Linked DNA regions of Bombyx mori. The protein of the gene in region 1 binds, or shares a complex with, the protein of each later gene. Links are inferred from orthologs where the notes say so. Each region holds a gene or a part of one and is shown in the gene's direction. Other genes may lie near its edges.

Region 1 (3,769 bases):
GACTTCCACAAATAATTCAAGATCGAAATTAGCCAAATGGGTCCAGCCGTTCTCGACTTTTAGCGATACTAACGAACAGCAATTCATTTTTATATATATACATAGATTAGAATGTAGAATTTGACTGATCATAACGAACATGATTTTATTTATTATAGGACTTCACTAAACTGCTACAACTAGAAGAGGAACATGTACAGCGTCAATGTGAAGAAATTATTGCACTTAAACCAGATATTGTCTTTACCGAAAAGGGAGTTTCAGATCTTGCACAACATTACCTTGTTAAGGCTGGAATTACTGCTATCCGCAGGTATGTATTTTCACATTGTATAATATGTGAATAAAGCCTTCTTTGTTTTGTTTCATTGTGACTGATGTGCTGCTTTAATAAAAGGGTAGTAATAATTTAACACATTTTTGGAGGTAGTAAGTACCACACTAACTAGTGGTATCTCTTATTTTGAGCATGCTATCATTATGTCTTGTAACTATAAATAATACTATGTCTAATAATAATGTAATGTAGTAATAATAATGTAATGTAGTAATAATAATGTAATGTAGTAACAATAATGTAACTATAACACAGTAAATCACCATGCTTTCTGATTATAAAGATATTCTGGTACATTTGACGCATGTACATTCTGGTACATTTGAGACTATGACTTGATAGATGACCTATGTGGAGGGTGCAGTGAGGGTTTGAGGTTTATGCAGATCATAAAACTCACACACTCGTAACCACTTAACATTCAATCAACTATTTCCGCTTTGTGAGCAATAAACTAAATTTTCGATATGATTGGATAGAATTATTGAGTTCAGTTCTGTATTTGCCATTACAGTATTGAGCAGACACCTTTAAAGTTTTATTTCTCAGTTTAATTAATTGAAAATCATTCTAGACTCCGTAAAACGGACAACAACCGTCTAGCGCGGGCGTGTGGAGCAACAATTGTCAACCGTACTGAGGAACTCAAGGAATCCGATGTCGGCACTGGAGCTGGACTGTTTGAGATCAAGAAGATCGGAGATGAATATTTCACTTTTGTCACTGAATGCAAGAACCCCAAGGTACTAAATTAATTATATTTAAATCACTAATCTGCTCACATTCTGCTGTGATTATCATTACTTGTATGTAAGACATAGATTTCTTGAAACTATTCACTTACCACCTGTCATGTCTTGGTACTGTAAAATAATTATTCCCTGAAGTACCAGCTACAGCTACCAAGTCTCAAAACAATTGAAGAAGTGCATTAAGAATGTATGGAAGAAAAACACACAAACACTTAAATAGTAGATGTTATTACTACTTCATCTTTTTTTTTAAAATAAACTCACTATTAAACAGTGTTTAATATGTTTGGCGATTCTTAATGCATCAAACATGATAACAGTGAGTGTTAAATTGTCTGGTTAAATAATAAAGGACGATGACAACATTGATGTTGATGTCTGTGGGTTGCAATCCCTTAACATGAGACGAGAGCTCGTTCACCTATCTAAACAATAAAAAAGAGCATCAATGACCTACTGAGGACAGTGCAGCGTAAATTACCTTGATTAATAGTATTGTTGTTGTTGTCCTAGGATACCCCGCTAGTACATAGGGCTCTCACAAGTTGTCTCCACTTTACCCTGTCTTGCGCTTGCTCCTTGACCTGGAGTGATTAATAGTATACCTAACAATAATTTCATAGTATTACAATAATAGTTTAACGATATGCATTTTCTCCTCTCAACTATTAAAATGAATATAGAAAATGAGTAAAATAAAATGGAATAATAATCTAAAAATACATTTTGAAGGCATGCACAATATTACTCCGTGGTGCTTCTAAGGATGTCCTGAATGAGATTGAAAGGAATCTTCAAGACGCTTTACACGTCGCCAAGAATTTGGTAAGTGTATTGACACATTATCTATCTACTGTATATGAATTTGCATTTTTTTTTCGAATCGTATATTCGATTAAGAAATCATTGGTTTAAAAAAAATACAATCTTTCTTATTTTATATAATTATATAAAGTCATTGTATGATTAAAAAAAGAGAGAACTAAGACATTTGGTAATTCCAATAAATGTCCACATTTAAAAGTATGATTGATTTTCAAAATGTAATACAAAACAAATATAAGTGTTAATTTATTATTTTAAATGCCCATTCTGTCCTAATGATTTTAAACAGAACTCATACTAGAGATACGTTATTAGTTAGTACTTAGGGTAAATATAATTATTTTGTGTACTTAAAATGAAGTTGTTTAATATTGTTATTCATTTTCTTACTATTGCAGAATTAATATCTATACATATAAATAAAATTGGAGTGTCTGTTTGTAATATTGAAATAGCCTCTTTTTACTACATACATATGAATATATATACGGTACATATACCAAAATAACATTTTTTACAATTTTTGTCTGTCTGTCTGACTGTTCCGGCTAATCTTTGGAACGACTGGACTGATATTGACGGGACTTTCACGGATAGGTAGCTGATGATATAAGGAGTAACTTAGGCTACTTTTTTTAGACTAGCTCCGCCCCGCGGCCTCACCCGCAGTTATTGTCGTACCGCGCCAAACATGGCGGGACTCGCCTATCAATAATAAAATTTAATGTTTCCGAAGCGAAGCGAGGGCGGGTCGCTAGTTATAATTAAAAAGGTTGTTTATTTTACCTTTTTTTTTACAGAATTTTTTGAAGTGGTAGAATTAAATTGCCCATATTATGATATCGATATATCCATCATGTACAAATACATAATGATGGTATTGAAATTGATTATAATATAATGTTGTGCGTGCAGGTGGTGTCGCCGCGGCTGGTGGCGGGGGGCGGCGCCGCGGAGATGGCCGTGTCCAGCGCGCTGTCGCACCGCGCCGCGCACAACACGCCCTACAGGGCCGTCGCCACCGCGCTCGGTACTAGCACCCCGCTGTATACCTATGCTTAGCTAATAATATATAGTACAGTACACTGTGAACGTGTCCATAACAACGTATGCGCTATGAAAGAAGCTTCAAGCGGCCTACGCACGACCCTAAAATCAGTGGCGATATCGGGACGGCAGTGGTGGGGATAATCGTCGTGAGCTCGCCCCAGCGATTTTTAGAGTTTATGGTAAACAATAAAAATCGGGTTACGATTTGATTATACACGAGGTGATTTAGGGTCTTCCCCACCACTGTCCCGATATCGCAACCGACGTTACGAAACATATTATACGACATACGATTTAAGGATCAAATTCAAATGACAAGCTATTATTCACTGGGCTGAAGCGGTGCCGTTGCAGTGCTTGCATAGTGTGCCATGACCCTTACTCAAACCTTTAAAGGCGGAAGATCCTCAAAACAACTGGCATATACAGATCTAATCAATCTGCTTAGTTTGATCCTCGCATATTCTGCCAATATCATGGCCGATTTTTATGAACTTCATTACGATCAGTGAATGATAAAATTATATTTACATTTTTGTATTGTAGATAATGCGAACACAACAATAATTCTGATTTTTTTCAATACTAGAAGTAAATAGGAAAAATTTAAGTTTAATATTTAGAATATGAATCTCTAGAGATTTTAATACTTGCAGGCTGCACTGCGCTCAGAACGTTACGTAATGCCAGAGTTCCGCGTGCTTAGTGCGAGTTTCTTAACGTTCTCGATGGCGTAAAAGTTAACCCAATTTTGTATGCAGTTGGAACAGCGCCCCTAGCGGCAAACGTACGCAAACGATTTCAT
Region 2 (4,392 bases), on another chromosome or scaffold:
AGGGTTAAATTGGGATATTTGTAAGGGTTGTCAACTCGCAGTACTGCGATATATAGGTAGGTGCCATATAATTATTTATATGGACCGAAATGATGAATACAATCCATAATTTAAGCACAATACACAACATAGTGTAAATTAAGCTGGTTTCTATTCCGAAGCGATGTGACGTGAATGATAATCAACAATACAATGATCAAAAAAAGTATGTGCATGTTATATTTTAGAAAATTATTATTTAATTTCCTTAAAAATCACAACTCTGAAACAAATTGATAAAATAGAATAAAAAATAGAAAACAAAAGGACTGGAAATGCAATAATACAATTTTATTTAATCAACATTTTCAAAATAATCTTTGAGCAAGAGTAAGATATCAGGTGAATAAGATAAAAAAACAGCTTTATCTGATTACTGCCAATAATAACAAAAATAAAAGAAATTCTTTCTAAGCTAAATAACTAAACTCAATTAATTCACTCACTCATAATTGGATATATCGGATTTTTAATTAATGTTACATTTAAAATCTGAGGCCTGTTTTTATTTGTGTGTGCGTTTTGAATGTTAACAAAATCATGATTCGATGCGTGAATAGATTCTGAAATAACAAAAGTTTTGATTCGTTTGAGTTCTTTTAACTTTTAATTTTTTTTATTGCTATAAAGAACATACGACCGGGCAGATATTACAAGGTAAATGTCGCGAAAAAAAGTAATTATATATATACTTTTCTTTTACCTATAATACTTACATAAACTAACTGATAAACACATTAACCTTCTTTACATCACGCAATTAAGTGATAGTATAGGCTAAAAAATCTATTATAAGATATCAGTGACAACCCTAACAAGCCATCCCTATTTTGTCTTTTGGCGTTCCAATTTTGTGTTTTCTCGTCCCTAATTTTTCCAGTCTCGTTCCCAATTACCCTACATACGTCCCAATTTTCCCCAAAAAGAAAGGAAAAAATATACATTTTTTATTTTGTCGAAATATTGTATTTAAAATAAGAATATTGCAACTTACCGTTTGTTGTGGTATTTCCAGGTGTATTAAAAACTTATATAAACTGTGATCTTATTGAAAAAACAACGATAATATTACTTTTTTTAAAAGTTCTTTAAGCTGTTTTAAAACTCACTTTTCAACCACTATTTTCAATTTAATTTGACGAATTTTTGGGACCAACTTAACTCATATTTAGTACTTCCATAGTTAACTTGGTTTTTCTTCTATACATTGATAAATATTAACTTAAACAAAATTAGGTAAATTCCGTGCTACAGGTACTTTGAGAATCTTCCGCAGGTTTGTCCCAATTTACCCCAGGATCCCAATTTACCCCATGTCATGGTACCTATTGTTCTACATATTTCATGACAAAGTTTCCTTTGCCTGTCTCAATGTTAAGTCTATGGAAAAAATATCTGGTGTCAAATTTCCTGAAAAGCTGGAGCAAGTTTATGTATTTCAACTATTAGAATTTTAATTGTTAATTTAATAAAATGCAGGTATAATAAATGGAACTTATCAGTAAAATGATGTGCAGTACATTAAAGTGAAAAGTTTAATTTTATTTTGTTGTTTATTTTTAGAACCCCAATGAAGATACAGAATGGAACGATACCCTTCGAAAGATGGGTATTATACCGCAGAAAGAAGCGGAGTTTTCGGAGGCCGATATTGTGAACATGATAGAGGACACAATACAGCAAAAGGAAGCTGAAAGTAGGTCAACAAATACGAATTTTTGAGGTTAAGCTCTACGATGTAAATGCAATATGTATTGGCTCATCAGTAATCAACAGTGAATCATTACCCGGAAACACTGAACGTAATGAACTTCGAAACTTTTTGGTTTAAGTACCTATAATTTCATTATTCATTATACATTCCTTTAGACTAGTCTAGTTTATAATTGATATGCATCACCAGTACACTAAATGAATCCTGGAATTAAACAGTCACCAAATTAATAGTTTTCTTTCTGCAATTCAATCATTTTGTTAAAAAAATTCTTTGCATCCAACACCTTATGAAATGTTCAGCCAAGCGAGACTCATCACCTAAATTAGCTCTAGTAAGTACAGTTAAGTGGGACGCATTCATTTTTGTACTGGCATAGATAATGAATATTCACCAATTATGAATTTTTTGGTGATTATTTGTTACATCAAAATACATTTGCTTGAATTTATATATAAACTAAATTGAAAATATTCAGGAATAACAAGACATGTTAAGACACTACTAATGTTTAAAGAAATATTTTTCTTAAAGATCTGACAAAATGTTAGTCACACTCTGTATTATTATAATTATAAATGTTCAGCTATGAATTTACAATTAACTTTGTGTTTTGTTTTCCATTCTGACATACTGAACAATTAACCCTACGAATTTAAGAAGTGACTCCCTCAAAAATGTAGTAATCATCACCTATTGGGTGCAGAGAATTGATAGGATAGTTAATGAGTTCATTTCATTGGTAGAACGCCAGTTCAGTTGATAGGGACACTTTTTTTAACATCAGCCAAAACACCATCGTAGATAGTTGTATGCTGAGGACGAGAGTTCAAGCCACCCTTGGCAAGTGTTTTGAACACTATAAACTACATAATTAACTGGACTGACTGTGATGGTCTCCAATAATAACAATTTTTACTTATTCACAGAACAAAAACAATTATCTGAGTTAGACCTTGATGGATTGGACGAACTTGAAGATTCAGAAGATGAGGCTGTTATAGAAGAGTACCGCAGGAAACGATTAGCAGAAATTAAGAAGCTGTCTGAGAAGCCTAGATTCGGAGAAGTGCGAGAAGTCTCTGGTCAAGATTATGTGCAGGAGGTTAACAAGGCTGGTCAAGACATTTGGGTGGTCATTCATTTGTACAAACAGGGGTGAGTGGAACGATGAATAAGATATAAAGACATTAGATAAACCAATATCAATGTATGTAGTTTTTTTCCTCTAGATAACCTAGCACTGACTTTTTATGTCATTGGGCCATTATGACCCTTTATCTGCAGACTGCTCCAATGATTATTATCAATCATATAAATCAAAAAATTTCAGAATACAACAATGTGCACTAATAAATCAACATCTACGAGAATTAGCAGTCAAGTTTCCCTACACAAAATTCTTGAAAGCCATTGCTCAGACTTGCATCCCAAACTTCCCAGAGAGGAATCTGCCTAGTTTATTTGTTTACTTTGAGGGCGAAATGAAGCAGCAGTTTGTGGGGTCCCACGAACTAAGGGGCACCAGTTTGACTTGTGATGGTAAGCTATGAGAATTGATTTTTATAGTTTTTTTTTAATTTAATTATAATTGGTTACATTTTTAGTAAGGATTACTATTAGTGATTGTTATCATATAACAATAGCACCACAAGGCTTGCTTCTCACCAATAGCAAATTTAATACAGTAGTAGTAATTTAGTCAGTAGCAGTATAACATGTGAGTCTCCATTGAGAAGCATCCGTTTTGCCACCAAGAGTGAACTTCAATACAGTGTATTGTAGTTGAAGTAGCTGTGAATAAATCAATTTTTAAATGATGGTAATTGATAGCTTGATACCTTATATAGCATGGCCAATAGTTCTATGTGAACTTTGTGAATCAATTCACTTTTGTAGTGGTTGTTATAGAGTTATGTATGAATTAAATTATATTGACATTGAAAAATAGACAAAAATGAAAATATAATGAATAAAATGAGTCTGAACCGTGAGATATTAGTGATTATAGTCAAATTGAGATGAGCTAGTGGAAAGTAATAAAATAAATGTATTTGAATTTCCAGAACTCGAATACATACTCGGTAAGGTTGGAGCTGTCGAAACGAGCATAACAGAAGATCCCCGACCAAAGATCAAAGACAAGTTGTTTACTGACCTTGGAAGTAATGACTGGTGATTTTAGAATATTAATTTATGTTAAAGTTAATTTATATTTTATGTTACATCTAACAGTATGTTTTTTTTTTAAACTGTATTCTGTCGCTTTACTTATCAAAAGCTTCTTATGTGAACTGTATTAAATTAATATATTAAGGTTTGTGCTAAATGAGCATCATTATCAAGTGAACTTGTGTTGTTATATAGGACCCCGTTGTAAAAAAAAATCTATAGTAATGGCGTATATACAGAGACCGGTTAACCCATGTCTGATGGCAGTCTTTTTGTGGTAATTGATTCAAATAAAAATTAAAACTTCTTTAGTCGCAAACAATTGATATAACTAGATTTAATTGTTACAACAAAACTTGCGAAAGTATGTGACTGTATGAAATTCAAGTCATATATTTTGATTTAAACGGTCAGGTCAAAGGGCATTTGTTTATTTAATCCTTTGAAAAAAAAAAATTTGCTCACTG

What was found.
Region 2: the proteins of T-complex protein 1 subunit gamma (region 1) and viral IAP-associated factor homolog are in contact, whole or in part, in a cryo-EM structure (PDB 8I6J), measured with the Homo sapiens proteins. The link is inferred for Bombyx mori from reciprocal best matches to the Homo sapiens genes CCT3 and PDCL3. Residues at the interface, in NP_005989.3 of Homo sapiens: Met47, Pro53, Met54, Val58, Met59, Thr60, Asn61, Asp62, Ala65, Arg68, Glu69, Arg167, Ile258, Glu261, Phe264, Leu268, Gln269, Glu271, Ser297, Asp298, Leu299, His302, Ser380, Glu382, Ile383, Arg389; in NP_076970.1 of Homo sapiens: Glu66, Ala70, Met73, Tyr74, Arg75, Arg77, Arg78, Trp82, Leu182, Pro212, Lys213, Ile216, Glu217, Asp218, Val219, Arg226, Leu229, Met230.

The regions. Positions count from the first base shown.
Region 1 is NC_085127.1:10,948,939-10,952,707, reverse strand, and holds part of T-complex protein 1 subunit gamma, read left to right. Parts: intron 1-158; coding exon 159-313; intron 314-911; coding exon 912-1,080; intron 1,081-1,821; coding exon 1,822-1,914; intron 1,915-2,829; coding exon 2,830-2,944; intron 2,945-3,769. UniProt on the Homo sapiens protein: Component of the chaperonin-containing T-complex (TRiC), a molecular chaperone complex that assists the folding of actin, tubulin and other proteins upon ATP hydrolysis.
Region 2 is NC_085131.1:763,693-768,084, forward strand, and holds the start of viral IAP-associated factor homolog, read left to right. Parts: upstream 1-1,362; 5' UTR 1,363-1,512; coding exon 1,513-1,518; intron 1,519-1,602; coding exon 1,603-1,735; intron 1,736-2,682; coding exon 2,683-2,911; intron 2,912-3,086; coding exon 3,087-3,295; intron 3,296-3,819; coding exon 3,820-3,932; 3' UTR 3,933-4,392. UniProt on the Homo sapiens protein: Acts as a chaperone for the angiogenic VEGF receptor KDR/VEGFR2, increasing its abundance by inhibiting its ubiquitination and degradation.